3 linked regions of the Xenopus tropicalis genome follow. Each later gene encodes a partner of the first gene's protein in a complex. Links are inferred from orthologs where the notes say so. Each region holds a gene or a part of one and is shown in the gene's direction. Other genes may lie near its edges. The genes, in order: gins3, gins2 and mcm4.

The links.
Region 2: the proteins of gins3 (region 1) and gins2 are in contact, whole or in part, in a crystal structure (PDB 2E9X), measured with the Homo sapiens proteins. The link is inferred for Xenopus tropicalis from reciprocal best matches to the Homo sapiens genes GINS3 and GINS2. Residues at the interface, in NP_073607.2 of Homo sapiens: Leu13, Gly14, Tyr117, Ser121, Leu124, Asn131, Ala132, Ser135, Gln136, Leu138, Leu139, Gln140, Phe142, Ile143, Phe146, Arg147, Ile149, Met150, Asp151, Ser153, Gln154, Ala156, Met171, Gly174, Leu175, Thr178, Gly179, Gly182, Leu183, Asp185; in NP_057179.1 of Homo sapiens: Asp2, Ala3, Ala4, Glu7, Met93, Glu94, Lys97, Asn101, Trp121, Ile125, Arg129, Val130, Ala132, Asp133, Val136, Arg137, Gln139, Met151, Thr155, Ser156, Thr158, Phe159, Leu160, Gln162, Ala163, His166, Met167, Lys169, Leu170, Arg171.
Region 3: gins3 (region 1) and mcm4 share a complex: the UniProt entries of both Homo sapiens proteins name them as parts of the CMG helicase complex. The link is inferred for Xenopus tropicalis from reciprocal best matches to the Homo sapiens genes GINS3 and MCM4.

The regions. Positions count from the first base shown.
Region 1 is NC_030680.2:75,817,664-75,822,727, forward strand, and holds the start of gins3 (DNA replication complex GINS protein PSF3), read left to right. Parts: upstream 1-1,763; 5' UTR 1,764-1,767; coding exon 1,768-1,935; intron 1,936-4,657; coding exon 4,658-4,891; intron 4,892-5,064. UniProt on the Homo sapiens protein: Required for correct functioning of the GINS complex, a complex that plays an essential role in the initiation of DNA replication, and progression of DNA replication forks.
Region 2 is NC_030680.2:64,843,836-64,848,891, forward strand, and holds the start of gins2 (DNA replication complex GINS protein PSF2), read left to right. Parts: upstream 1-1,702; 5' UTR 1,703-1,703; coding exon 1,704-1,793; intron 1,794-3,664; coding exon 3,665-3,779; intron 3,780-4,087; coding exon 4,088-4,187; intron 4,188-4,739; coding exon 4,740-4,866; intron 4,867-5,056. Other genes in the region: cfap157 (cilia- and flagella-associated protein 157), read right to left, coding at 56-327, 1,343-1,488. UniProt on the Homo sapiens protein: Required for correct functioning of the GINS complex, a complex that plays an essential role in the initiation of DNA replication, and progression of DNA replication forks.
Region 3 is NC_030682.2:113,241,331-113,245,610, forward strand, and holds part of mcm4 (DNA replication licensing factor mcm4), read left to right. Parts: intron 1-428; coding exon 429-593; intron 594-1,232; coding exon 1,233-1,396; intron 1,397-1,478; coding exon 1,479-1,580; intron 1,581-1,707; coding exon 1,708-1,803; intron 1,804-1,892; coding exon 1,893-1,988; intron 1,989-2,149; coding exon 2,150-2,288; intron 2,289-2,475; coding exon 2,476-2,696; intron 2,697-2,839; coding exon 2,840-2,960; intron 2,961-3,923; coding exon 3,924-4,183; intron 4,184-4,280. UniProt on the Homo sapiens protein: Acts as a component of the MCM2-7 complex (MCM complex) which is the replicative helicase essential for 'once per cell cycle' DNA replication initiation and elongation in eukaryotic cells.

The DNA.
Region 1 (5,064 bases):
CATATCTCCTTTGCTTTAGGGTTCACATCCTCATAAATCACATATTGGTTATAAGGTCACATGCTTTCTAAAAATACCAAACAAGGCCAGCCAATACCCACCAGTTAGGGGGGATAGTTTTCATGTTTGGTATCCTTCTGATCACCCACATATGGGTTAAAGCAAGCCCATATTTTCATAATAATATTGGATACTGTCAAGTGCCAATATTATATGACAAGAAACTGGCCTGAGAATTGCAGTCCTCTACAGGAGGTCATAAGTGATAAGTTCCTGGGCACTCCCCCCTCATGCATGCGGTAATGAGGAAGGGTCCAAGCAGGGGATAAAAGGGCAAAAGACCCAGTTACTAACAGCTCATACCTGAGGTCCCAATTCTGTTGGGGTGTGGGCTCAGGTTTCCAAACTCTTGCCTCAGGAGGACACAAAGGAAATTCCTAACTTGGTAAAGTAAATAGGGTTTCTGTGTTTTATTCCCTTTTATTTTATTTACTGTTTGCAATTTTACGTGTATGTCTCTTTTTGTAATATCTTTTAATATGTACTGTTTACTCTTGTAATATTAAATATAAAATTTAATAAGTTTTGTCCGGTTGCTCTAAAAAGATTTCACGTAGCTTGTATGAACGCTTGGGGCTAACTGTATTAACAGCTTGTCTGTGTGTAGAAGGAAAGTTGTCTGTGTATAGGCTAATTAACTAGTTGACTGCTAGCAGGAGAGTATGTTTGACTGTAATTTAACCTTTTGGCTGCTAGAGTGCTTGTTGAATTAGTAGACACTAACCCTAACTACAGTGAGAGTGTGTGATACAGTTGTGTATTGGGAAATAGTACCTGTTGTAGAGAGCACTGAATATTTATTTGGGGCGGTGGTGTGTTTGGGGGTGTCTGATGTTAGTCTAACCTTAGGTAACCTTACTGAGTGTAACCCCGTTTCCTCATCCCAGTGTCACGTGCGTCTAAGAGTGGCGTGATCGTGACAATGTCCTTATCATTTGTGAAGATTCATGTATACCAAAGGTTTCAACAATTGTGCAGCTGGCCCTTCTGGGGTGGCTTGAGGCAGTGGTGGGCAGACCCTGAAGGCCAATTAAGATGAGGCATGGGGTGAACGTTTATTTTGCCGATTCAAGGTAACAACGTATTTGCTGTCTAAGATATTATCGGGGCTATGCAGAGAAAAAGGTTGAACCTCCAACTCGGGCTTAAACTGAAAAAGTCTGACAACCTCTATTATACGGACTAGCAGGTAAAAATGTGGCTTTGAGCCATTGTTATATAGGAAAGCCTGTATGTTTTTCCATAAACGGTAGCAACCCTAATTAAAGCTGTGTCTCTCAGCTCCACAGGAGATAGAATTATGATCTCAAACGCAGTCCTGGTTAAGGAAATGATCACTCCTTAACACTCACTGCTGCATCATCGTAGTACTAGCAAGGCTCAGACGACTGCAATTGCAAACTCATTCCTCCAAACTAAGGAATATTATAAGGCTAAAATAATATTGTATTACACAACTTAAACAATGATGTTATTAATCAGATTACCAAGCCGAAAACAAACACTAATTGAATCAAAACCAAACAACCACAAGATTTCACGATAGTTCAGACTACAGCAGAATACATGACACTATGAAAACGAGGCTTGAGACGCGGTAGTGGGCAGGACCGCAGCAACGCGGGAGATTCATTCAATTTGTGGTGCTGCAGCCATTTTCGCTAGCTGGTTCCCTTTGCAGATTGGTAGAAGAGGATATCATTCATAATGTGGGAACCCTACATGCCAGTTGAGCCCGGCTTGGGCAGGGAGGAGAATTTCCTTTCCATAGAAGATTTGTTAATGTCACAGGAAAAATTACCTTGCCGTGTAGAGAGCGGCTTCCCTCGGCTCGGCTTCCTAGAGAAAGGTGGTGACAGCGACAGCATCCCTGAGGTGACTTTGGGTGATGCAATAATAAATGTAGCTTTTCTGGGTGGTCATGGATTCATATGGGCAATCCATCATTGTGCTCCTGCAAATTTACCTTTCATTCCATTGGATTAACACTGGGCGTTTTAATGTGTTGCCTTTGAAAATGAGTTTACTTTAGCAGTTCTATTATAGTCAAGTTCTGTGTAGCCACAACAGCATTAATGAGCTTGGGCACTGATGCTGGGCAAACAGGCATGGCTTACAGCAGTGATCCCCAGCCAGAGGCTCATGAGCAACATGTCACTCGCCAACCCCTTGGATGTTGCTCCCAGTGGCCTTAAGCAGGTGCTTTTTTTAAATTGGAAGCAAGATTTGGTTGCACAAAAACCAGGTTTACTGCCAGAAGAGTCTCCTGTAGGCTACCAATCTACATTGGGGCTACCAAATAGCCAATCACAGCTCTTATTCGGTACCCCAGGGATGCTCCCCAGCTGTTACTACATTTGACTGTGGCTCATGGGTAAAAACAGGTTGGGGAGCCCCGGGTTACAGACTGTCCTGCAGTTAACCTCAGGTGTTCAGTTGGGTTAGGACTCTATGTAGGCCAATAAAGTTCATTCTCACATTTCGGCAAACTAAGTACAGATGCTGTGTGCCTGGGGGGAATTATTGTGCTAAAGCGGAGACAAGAGACCGTGCTTCCAGAAAAACACAAGAACTGAGAAGTGAGTGTTCCAACTGAGTGCATGCAGTTTTAGAATGGTTTACCTTGGGCCATGGGTTGAAATCCTCCTGTACGTTCTGTGACAGGCAGGTGGCATGGACAAGTGTTTCTCCACTGACTGGGTAAACTGGTTTGCCATCAGTCTTAGTGCTGTTGGTACATGGTGCACTTTTTGTCTGGCTAAAAATAACTTCAAATTATTGCCTCCCGTAGACATGACAGTGTCAGTAAAGGTACTCTGTAGCCAAAAAATGCTCTAAATAGTGTTTCTTGGCTTAAGAACTATTGGACATTTGGGTAATTTCTAATTGGTCTGGGGCACCCAGTACAAGAAGCCAGAAGGGGTTATGATGTAGTAAAGGTACAATTACTGGGAGTTGCCAAAATACTAGGCACCCCCAGTGACTGTAATCACTATCTGATACCCCAGGCCAGTAATCCTGTAAGCAGAACTGGGCCAGGGTAACTGCGAGCGATCCTCTTCCTCCTGTCTTCTTTCTTCTCGATCCTGGGACCAATACATGTGCAGTACAGTGAAAAAGCAACATTTTTTTGTTAAAGTTTAGCTTTTCACTCTACTGCATAAGTGCAAGCTGTGCAAAGAAAGAACGAAAAGGATAGCTTGCACCCAGTTAATGTATGCTTATTTTTCCCCTTAGGGGCACTGGCACACAAGGTTTGTTGCCTGTGGGGAATCTGTGCTACATACAAATGACAAATCTGCTGAAATTACCTTTCCCTTCACTTGAAATAGTTTATATGCGGTGATACAGCTTTTTTTTATGCCTGAACTTTTCAAGTGATTTACATGCCATGATCCCCACATTGTTACCCACGGGTAACAAAACTCCTTGTTTGCCATTTCCGTAATGGACAGGGAAAAATGTCAAAGAAAATGTAATTGAAAGCAACATATCATTATACGTTAATTAAAAATGTTGTTGTTTTATAAATGAGAACAGATTGGTCCAGCACAGTTGTGCATAACAGGCTGTACATAGACCAGAAGGATATGAGGAAAAGTCTGTTAAATAGTATATTTAGATTTGACATTGGTGTAAAAAATTGTCATTTACAAGTGAATCACATTCAAGAACATCATTAGAATATTTGATCTGAAGTAATGAAGTAATGGAAACATTTTGGTACTAGTAAAGTATTGCAAATGGCACCTCTATCTATCTAATTATCTTTATGTGTATATGTATGTATATATATATATATATATATTATAAAAATGCAACTCATCCCATGAATCAATCAAAACCAATTGGGGGCACATAGGTGAGTGGCTTGGCTTATATTATATACTATATACATTACTCCAGCACTCCATTATATAGCTTCAAGAGAAAATTAAAAACTAAACCAAAGCTATATAATGGAGTGCCTGGGTAATGTGTATAGTATATAATACAAGCCACTCACCTGTGTGCACCCAATTAGTTTGGATTGATTCATGGGATGAGCTGTATTTTTTTGTATATATTTGTGTGGTAAGGGGAAGTGGCTATTCCCTAATTGAATGCTTGCTCTCCCAACCTCGCCCCTTTAAGGATAGCCTTGCAGTTTTTTTTTTTTTTGCAAGAAGGTGTTTATAAGCTTAATTGCGGAATGGTTTCTTTGGAATAGGTCATGCCATATAAAGAGAAAAGCAGGTATGGTCTTTCTTCCACCAAAGAAAATATACTCTCTTTTTCGCTAGGTTAGGACTGACGCAAGGACACTGCCTTGACGGGCGCGTCAGCTTATGCATACTTTGTACAAACCGTGTAATGCAACGTGTCTCTTTTCACTAAAATGCAGACATTTTTCCTTCAGTGTGTGCAAAATTGGTTTTTAATTTTCTCTTGAAGCTTGAAGTGTGTACCCTACCATGTAATTGCCTTATTCAGTACTACATAATGAAATATTAAGCCTCCCTTGCTTAAAATACCAGTTTTCATCTTTTGTATCCAAGCAGGTGTTATACATAATGACCACTGAACTTAATTACTGTAATAATTCCTTTTTTGTTAGGGTAGCAAAATGGAACTTCCATTATGGCTGGCGAAAGGTCTTTATGACAACAAACGGCGTGTACTTTCGGTAGAGCTACCAAAGATTTACCGAGAAGGCTGGCGAACTGTTTTCAGTGCTGATGCCAATGTCGTGGACCTGCACAAGATGGGACCTCATTATTATGGCTTTGGCTCCCAACTTCTCAACTTTGACAGTCCAGAAAACCCAGAAATTGCAAAGACAATATTGCAGGTAATTATTGCATTGTGGTAATTATTTCAAGTTTATGTTAAAATTTAGCTGCAGCATGAAAATATTTTCTTCCTTAGGTAGCACAGTACTATTCAAAGCAACATGAAAGTGCCCTTCAGTGCAAAGCCGTTCAATTCAGGACCCAGACTTTAGGAGTTTTGACTTCCTGGAAA
Region 2 (5,056 bases), about 11 Mb from region 1:
AGATACAAACAGATAAGGTACAGGATAATGTGGATCAAAGTAAGTGTACTGTTACCTAGAAGCATATTCTCTGAGGTGAGGCGCTCCTTGGTGTCTTGCAATTCATGTCGCACCTGAGTCAGCTGGGACTCATACGCATCCTTTTCTGCATCCTTGGCCTGCTGGAGCCCCAAGAGCTGGTCATTCAGGTCAGCAATTTCATCCATGCGTTGGTTTAGGGTACGTTTTAGGAAAGAGACAATCTCCTTTTTGTCATTAGACAACTGCTCATATTGAGCCTCCTTCAATTGCTCCTTTGCACAGATTTCATCCCATTTACTCTGGTACCTAAGAATATGATAAATACATTGTATAGCACCACGAAATTCTACACAACAACCTAGAAGAGTACACACACACAAGACAAATTCACTTACCGAGGTGCAGTAAACAAAGTTAAGGTTACAGCACAATCACCATGTTTTTTGAACAATGCAACATATTTTCCCAGAATTCAGGATCATTGTTGACCCACTCAGACGATTCTCTTGTCTGATTAACCAACATGGATGCAACTGAACCTAATGAAAACGTATCTTGTCATCTAAGTCTGGTACTACTCCCCCCTTTACTATATCTACTGATGGCACTCTCATTAACCCTGTCAACTCAGTTTGGGGATAGTTTTTAACTCTTCCTCTTCTTTTCTGTCCATATTAACACAACTGTCAAAACCTGTCACTTTTTCTTATACAATATTACCAAAATCTGTCCCTTTCTCACACAAGTAACAGCTAAGATGCCCATGCATGCTCTCACCCTATCCTGACTAGACTACTGTAACCTGCTACTAGCTGGGGAGGAGCAGTCGGGCAGGGGGAGCACAGGTAAGGGACAGGTCTGGGCCGCCGGGGCCCACCGTGATTTCTCCCGGTGTCCCGGCGGCCCAGCCGGACCTGCTCCTGGGTCCCAAACGAAGAGGAAATACAACATGCCAGAGGGGGGTTGGGACGGTGATTCTATTACAGTCAAAGAGAACTAATAAAATACTACTACAAAAAAATGATTTCCCCTTTAATGTGCGCCCCCCAGTGATTGCGCCCTAGGCAGGCACCTACTCTACCTACCCCTAGTTCCGGCCCAAGACCATCAGAAAACATATTTCCGATGGTTTTAGGAATGATTTTATGGTTGGGGGGTCACCACAACATGAGGAACTGTATTAAAGTGCGGGGCATTAGGAAGGTTGGGAGCCACTGCCTTAAACCCTTGTCCCCTCACGCTAATCACCTTGCACTGGGTTTTTAATGTAGCACCAGACCCATCCCATGAGTTACACATTTGGGTAAGAAATAGAACCCACCGTTCCAGCCGTTTCTCCAGATCTCGGATCTGCACTGTATAAAAATCTTTCGTTTGCTCTGTAACGCCCTCCGATGCGACCCTTACAGTCTCTTTCTCCTTTGTCTTGGCGCTGGGCCCTCGCTTACCTTTCTTTTTGGGAGGCATCCTGTATGGTACCGGCCGCAACTACACCCAGGCGCCCCCAGATTTCTGTTCTACACCTGCGGCACCCACTATGGTTACAGCGTCCCGTTTCTAGGCAACCCCACACCGCCAGCCCTCAACATTCCGCCCATGGGCGGGGCTTCTGTGCGTAGAGATTTCCTCTGCTCCGGCAGAAGCCCCGCCCCTTCCTATCGCTGATAGCGGGAGATTCAGTCATGGATGCCTCCGAGGTCGAGTTCTTGGCTGAAAAGGAGCAAGTGACTGTCATTCCCAACTTTAGTCTGGACAAGGTCTATCTTATTGGGGTGAGCAAAAGCGAACTTGTCAGGCTTCCATGCTTTGTAATAAGCAGTTTAGTAACGAAAGAGAAACATGGTGCTAGTTAGTCTTAAATTATATAGTGAGATAGAAGTATATGGGCCCCTGTATACTTGTTATAGATTATATAGAGCTGGGGTATGGGCCCCTGTATACTTGTTATAGATTATATAGAGCCGGGGTATGGGCCCCTGTATACTTGTTATAGATTATATAGAGCTGGGGTATGGGCCCGTGTATACTTGTTATAGATTATATAGAGCCGGGGTATGGGCCCGTGTATACTTGTTATAGATTATATAGAGCCGGGGTATGGGCCCGTGTATACTTGTTATAGATTATATAGAGCTGGGATATGGGCCCGTGTATACTTGTTATAGATTATATAGAGCTGGGATATGGGCCCGTGTATACTTGTTATAGATTATATAGAGCTGGGATATGGGCCCGTGTATACTTGTTATAGATTATATAGAGCTGGGATATGGGCCCGTGTATACTTGTTATAGATTATATAGAGCCGGGGTATGGGCCCCTGTATACTTGTTATAGATTATGTAGAGCCGGGGTATGGGCCCCTGTATACTTGTTATAGATTATGTAGAGCCGGGGTATGGGCCCGTGTATACTTGTTATAGATTATATAGAGCCGGGGTATGGGCCCGTGTATACTTGTTATAGATTATATAGAGCCGGGGTATGGGCCCCTGTATACTTGTTATAGATTATATAGAGCCGGGATATGGGCCCCTGTATACTTGTTATAGATTATATAGAGCCGGGGTATGGGCCCGTGTATACTTGTTATAGATTATATAGAGCCGGGGTATGGGCCCGTGTATACTTGTTATAGATTATATAGAGCCGGGGTATGGGCCCGTGTATACTTGTTATAGATTATATAGAGCCGGGGTATGGGCCCCTGTATACTTGTTATAGATTATATAGAGCCGGGGTATGGGCCCGTGTATACTTGTTATAGATTATATAGAGCCGGGGTATGGGCCCGTGTATACTTGTTATAGATTATATAGAGTCGGGATATGGGCCCGTGTATACTTGTTATAGATTATATAGAGTCGGGATATGGGCCCGTGTATACTTGTTATAGATTATATAGAGCCGGGGTATGGGCCCGTGTATACTTGTTATAGATTATATAGAGTCGGGATATGGGCCCGTGTATACTTGTTATAGATTATATAGAGTCGGGATATGGGCCCGTGTATACTTGTTATAGATTATATAGAGTCGGGATATGGGCCCGTGTATACTTGTTATAGATTATATAGAGCCGGGGTATGGGCCCGTGTATACTTGTTATAGATTATATAGAGCTGGGGTATGGGCCCGTGTATACTTGTTATAGATTATATGGTTCTACTATATGTAGGTATACTGTAGATTATACAGGGTGATTCAAGATGGTCCCACTTTATGGATGCAATATGTTCCAGTTGTTAAACACAAAATTTGGTCCAGTCTCTAGGAGTCCCAACTCAGTGCCTGAGGTGGGGCAGGCAATGTGTGATTGGCAGCTGATATTTTTAAACATCTTTATATCATGTATGGATGTTTTGATCAAAAAATAATTTGGGTTTACTATTGTTCAGCTTTTTATGTCTGGGTGACATGTCCCTTTAAGTCAGTCTGCGGTTGTTATATAGCTATCCTATATAATGGCAATCCTTCCCTATACTTATTTAAATAAAAACTTTGTTGCAGATATTCATTCCTTTTCTAATATTCTGATACCTCTATAACTCTCTCATCTCTTTTAGTTTTTGTTTCTTCTTATACAGTAGTATAACAGTAGTTTAGTGTACTGCTGCTTAACGGATCTCTTTTACCTGAACAGGGTGACTTGGGTCCCTTTAATCCTGGTTTACCTGTAGAGGTTCCTCTATGGTTGGCCATCAACCTTAAACAAAGGCAGAAATGTCGCATTGTCCCTCCACAGTGGATGGATGTCGGTAAGTAGGTTAACTGTTGAAAGCTTTGTTGCTTTTTTTTATGGCATGAAATTGCACTGACTTATTGGGTTACAGTTATAACAAACTTAGAGATAATGACTTGTGATGGCATTAAACCAATAGTAACCAGTGCAGCAAATTAGCATTTACTGCAAACCACCTCCAAATTGTCTTTGACTCTCTCCCTGCCACTAATCTGGGCCCTCCTAGTGGAGCCACCCAGGCAGGATGGGAACCTATGGTTTATAAGAAACATGTTAGGATTTCTGTCTGGGTTGTTTATTCTTTTTTTTTTTTTCTTTATCTAGATAAACTAGAGGCTATCAAAGATCAAGAACGCAGAGAGGATACATTTACTCCAATGCCAAGTCCATATTATATGGAACTTACTAAACTATTGTTAAATCAGTAAGTAAATCAAAATGAAAAACATGTTGTCTATGCCACCAAAGTATAAGGACTCTTGATATTGATACCCAGTAACAGAAAAGGAGATGAAGTTCTTCATGTATCAGTTACTGAGAGGTACAACACATGGGGGCAGATTTAGCAAAATGTGAATTAGAGCTCAACACAGAAAAATTCACTTACTTTCTGTTCATTCCTATTGGATTACATATTTATCGATGTGTGAAAGTTCGCTTCTAAAAATCCCATAGCAATGATTAGAAAGTGGGTGAATTTTCTGTGATAAATCTGCCCCATGGTGGAGGGGGAATGGGTAAATCCTCCAGACAGGTTCCAAAGGGCCTGGAAGTCTGCCACAGGCAAGCTGATATAGCTTTTAACTTTTATGTTTTTTATCTGTAACATATGTTCTAGCTAATTCCTGAAGAGCAGATGGAGAAAGAATTTGTCTTTCATACCCCACATCCCTTAAATAACCCCTGCCTTTCTGATTTTGGACCTGATCATGTTTGTTTTTACTTTTCCCCCCTCTCTCTATACATATATTTCCAGTGCTGCAGACAATATCCCTAAAGCAGATGAGATCCGTACACTTGTTAAAGACACATGGGATACAAGAATAGCAAAACTCCGGCTCTCTGCTGACAGCTTTGTGAAGGGGCAGGAAGCTCATGCCAAGGTACATGTGTATATGATTTTATGTTTCTCACTAAAAGTATCTTTTTAGATTGAAACTCTACCGTTGGTGCTTATAAAATAAAAGTGATGGAGGTCACGAGATGCTGCACAAGAGATATAATGGGCTATATTCAATAGAAAGCCGCACAGAACTAAACATTTATACAAAGTAAATATGTGGCTTTATTGGA
Region 3 (4,280 bases), on another chromosome or scaffold:
AGATGGCAGCCAGTGTGGGTGGTAAGAAAACACATCTTTGGGAGAGATGGAGACAAGCAATTTATATAGTGAAGTGCAAGTTGTATACCCCTTGGTGACGCACCTAGCAGACAACCAAGCACCACATTTGGAAACTGGGATATCCTTCCTTTAAATCACTTTTGTATGCTCTAATGGGGGCCTCCATTCAGTCTATACCATAACTACCATGGTGAAATTATCATGATCCCCTATAGACTTTCACACACACCGTTAATACCACAGAAAAATAAACCTATTAGGATATATTTTCTGGATATATACATGGCCTGGTGCTGTTGGAAATCCCTTTTTTTTTTTTTTTTTTTTTTTTTTTTTTGATAATACATACAATGACAATACAATATTATATTTATGTGACTGTTCCCTGTGTTCCCAATGTTTTGCAGCTCATGGAGAGGAAGTGCAGTCTCCTCCATCGCAGAGACGTCGGACAGAAGATTCCACATCTATTGGCGAACTTCTGCCCATGCCAACCTCACCTTCAGGGGACCTTCAGAGCCCCAGCGGGCAAGAGCTTATGTTTTCTAGCCCTGCACCATCAAGGCATTCTGGTATGCTGAACACATTTTTCCTCAATTACCATAGCATGCAGGTTCCCATTATAACAACATTGTATTTATTTGTGGGGGGGGGTTTCTTGCTCCCCAAATCTGAGTTTTTGTATACTTGGTGTCCCTATAATAATTAAAAAAAAAAAATTAGTAAAAGTGTTTTTTTTTTTTTTTTTTTACTAAATTCCAAAAACTGCTACTGGATGTGCCCTAATGACATTAAAGGGCCAGTGATACTATGAATTGAAAATGCCCTCAAAGTATTTACTAATGACAATCACTTAGTCTGTTGATTAGAAAATACTGAACCATTTTTAGATATTTTGTTAGAAAATGCCTGTTTTCTGCTGCTGGTTTTTACCAGTTTATAATTATATACTAACTAAGACTTCATTGGGTACAAAAAGGCTATGTGCTACTACTCCTATGAAAAGTACCGCCTTCAAAAGTAACCACAATTCTAGTATTATCATTTATTTTATTGTATGGCTATGGTTGATCCCTGTTTCACTAGATTTGTTGAATAAGATTTAGTAGAGAGCTCACATGAGTAACTAAGGTGTTTTACTAAGAATTGTAAAAAGTGTAAACCCATTAAAGATATGATTTCTAACTTTTCCAAATGTATTTTGCTTACAGCCCTTCAAAGTGAGCTTGATCTCAGCTCACCTCTCACTTATGGCACCCCTAGCTCAAGAGTTGAGGGTACCCCTAGAAGTGGTATCCGAGGGACTCCTGCTCGACAGAGACCTGACTTGGGATCAGCACGCAAAGTTAAGCAGGTGGATTTACATTCAGACCAAGTAAGTATCCTAAGCTCCATAACAGGTTGTTTACAAAATGAGTATTTGGTCAACATAATAATTCTAATTATGCTTTTTCAAGCCTGCTGCAGAGGAGCTGGTTACGAGTGAGCAATCTTTGGGACAGAAGCTGGTGATCTGGGGAACTGATGTCAATGTTGCCACTTGCAAAGAAAAGTTTCAGGTAAACAACTGGCCAGTCCTTACATTTTCATGTTTTTAATTTTTTTTTTAAATTGGATCAATTAGAATTTTGAGTTGTAATTTCAGTGCCGTTTTCTAACCTTTAAGTATCTCTTCCTATGATTTAGCGTTTTGTTCAGCGATTCATTGATCCTTTAGCTAAAGAAGAGGAAAATGTAGGACTGGATCTGAATGAGCCTATATATATGCAGCGACTTGAAGAGGTATGTGTGTTTTTAAAAAAAAAAAAAAATGTAGTATTTTTCTTCCAGTAAACCTAAGAAATCCTAAATTTTATTTTCTGTCCCTTTAGATAAATGTAGTAGGTGAGCCATTTCTCAATGTTGACTGTGACCATCTCAGAAGCTTTGATCAGGATCTTTACAGGCAGCTGGTTTGCTACCCACAGGTAATTTATGTTACTGTTCTTTCAGGAAAATTAATAATTACATATGTTTTTAGAAGCCATGATTTTCAGCCTGTTGTGAAGTTAATATATGTAAAAAAAAAAAAAAAAAAATCAGAAAAAGCTCTTAATTTGTTTGTTTTTTTTTTTTTTTTCCCCCTTAGGAAGTTATTCCAACATTTGATATGGCTGCTAATGAGATTTTCTTTGAGCGGTACCCTGACTCCATTTTAGAGCACCAGATTCAAGTTAGACCCTATAATGCATTGAAAACTAGAAATATGAGAAGCTTAAATCCAGAAGGTAATAAAATATGTTCAATGTTGTTGAGTCATGTCTAGTCTTAGACTAGTTTTAGTGTTCCACTGTTGCTTCCTATCAATTGAGTGAGAAACGAACAGCATCTGAAATTGGACTTTATTTTCATGGTTGTCAGGTTGCTTTTATAAACATAAGTTAGGCTAATGACACTTTTTTTTTTTCACCCTAGATATTGATCAGCTTATCACAATTAGTGGCATGGTTATCAGAACTTCTCAAATCATCCCAGAGATGCAGGAAGCATTTTTTAAATGTCAAGTGTGTGCCTTTACTACTAGAGTGGAGATTGATCGTGGTCGCATTTCAGAGCCATCAGTCTGCAAACACTGCAACACCACACACAGCATGGCTCTTATTCACAATCGCTCTATGTTCTCAGACAAGCAAATGGTAAGTTTTTATCTCATAACATTTGCTAACCACATATTTTGTGAAGATGGAATATATGCATTTTGCATATCTTCTATGGATGTGCCACAATGTTTTGAAAATAATTTCTTATGCAGTAGATTCTCATTATACTATACTCCTAGATTAAACTGCAAGAGTCTCCAGAAGATATGCCTGCTGGTCAGACCCCTCATACAACTATTCTCTATGGTCATAATGACTTGGTGGATAAGGTACAGCCTGGTGATAGAGTGAATGTCACAGGTATGTTCATTTGTACTGCAGAACATATTTTGCAACAGTCTTAATAGTGCCACATATTCAAATGTTATAATTTCTTTACATCTTATTTTAAGAAGCTTATTTCATCCACTCTTATTTAAGTTCCAGTAACATCTAGTGCACCAAATAAGTGGTAACTCTGATGTCATGCTAGGCAGTTTCTACTTTTTTTTTTTTTTTTTCTGGGGGGACTTCCCTGCTGGCCAATATTGCAGGTCACCCATGATGATCAAAATAAATTGTGGGTAATCTGTGAATTCACATGCCTGGCAGGTTACTTGCCTTAAATGATTTGTTGCATTTTTCTAGATGAAGTGAGCAGTTTTGGCTACAATGTGGGGATTGCAAAGAAAAGGAGCTTAAAATAGTGGAAAATAGAAAGGACAGATGGCATCACTATAGGTGTGGCTTTAAATAGTGGTTAACTCTATACTAATCTTTCCTTTCCCTTTAAGATTCAGAACTGGAAAAAGAAAGGAAAAGAGAGAACTGCTTTCAATTGCTGATGCCTTTTTAAAAACATTGACAATTTATAATGTAAATAACAAAGTTGCTTAAAATTATTATTGCATCTTTATTCATTATGCAATGGGTGGAGATCCCACGGTTCTATATCGCTCTGATCTGTAAATTGCTTAGGGAGGAAAACACCATTCATATTCAAACTTGCTAGTTTGCCACAAGGCTTCTTGATAAACTTTTAATTGCTCTTGATTTTATGGTGCTGACTATCAAGGACTTGTTACATAGACTTCATATTTTTGGCTTTCTTCATGTTATGCTGGGCAACCTAGAAAGCAGAAGAAAAAGATGTTCTACTAAAGCAAAATAATCACATTTGTGTTGAGTACTAACTAGCAAGCAGTTTGTTTTAACAGCACTAAACTGCTTGGTCACAGTGGAAATAACTAATTATTTAGCAACTTCAATGTTTTATTTCTCCAGGTATTTACAGAGCTGTCCCAATTCGAGTTAACCCTAGAGTTCGAAATGTAAAGTCTGTTTACAAAACTCACATTGATGTTATTCATTACCGAAAAACTGATGCAAAGCGGTTGCATGGTATTGATGAGGACACAGAACAGAAGATGTTCACTGAAGAAAGGGTTGCAATGTTAAAAGAACTTGCAGCAAAACCAGACATCTATGAGAGGCTTGCTTCAGCTCTTGCACCAAGTATATATGAGCATGAAGATATTAAAAAGGTATAACTTCTGTCTTTGTGGTTGGGAAATTAGGAGATAATTTTGGTGCACACAATCAGGTGGCGGTCAATAAAACCATAATACTCTTGAGCATTTT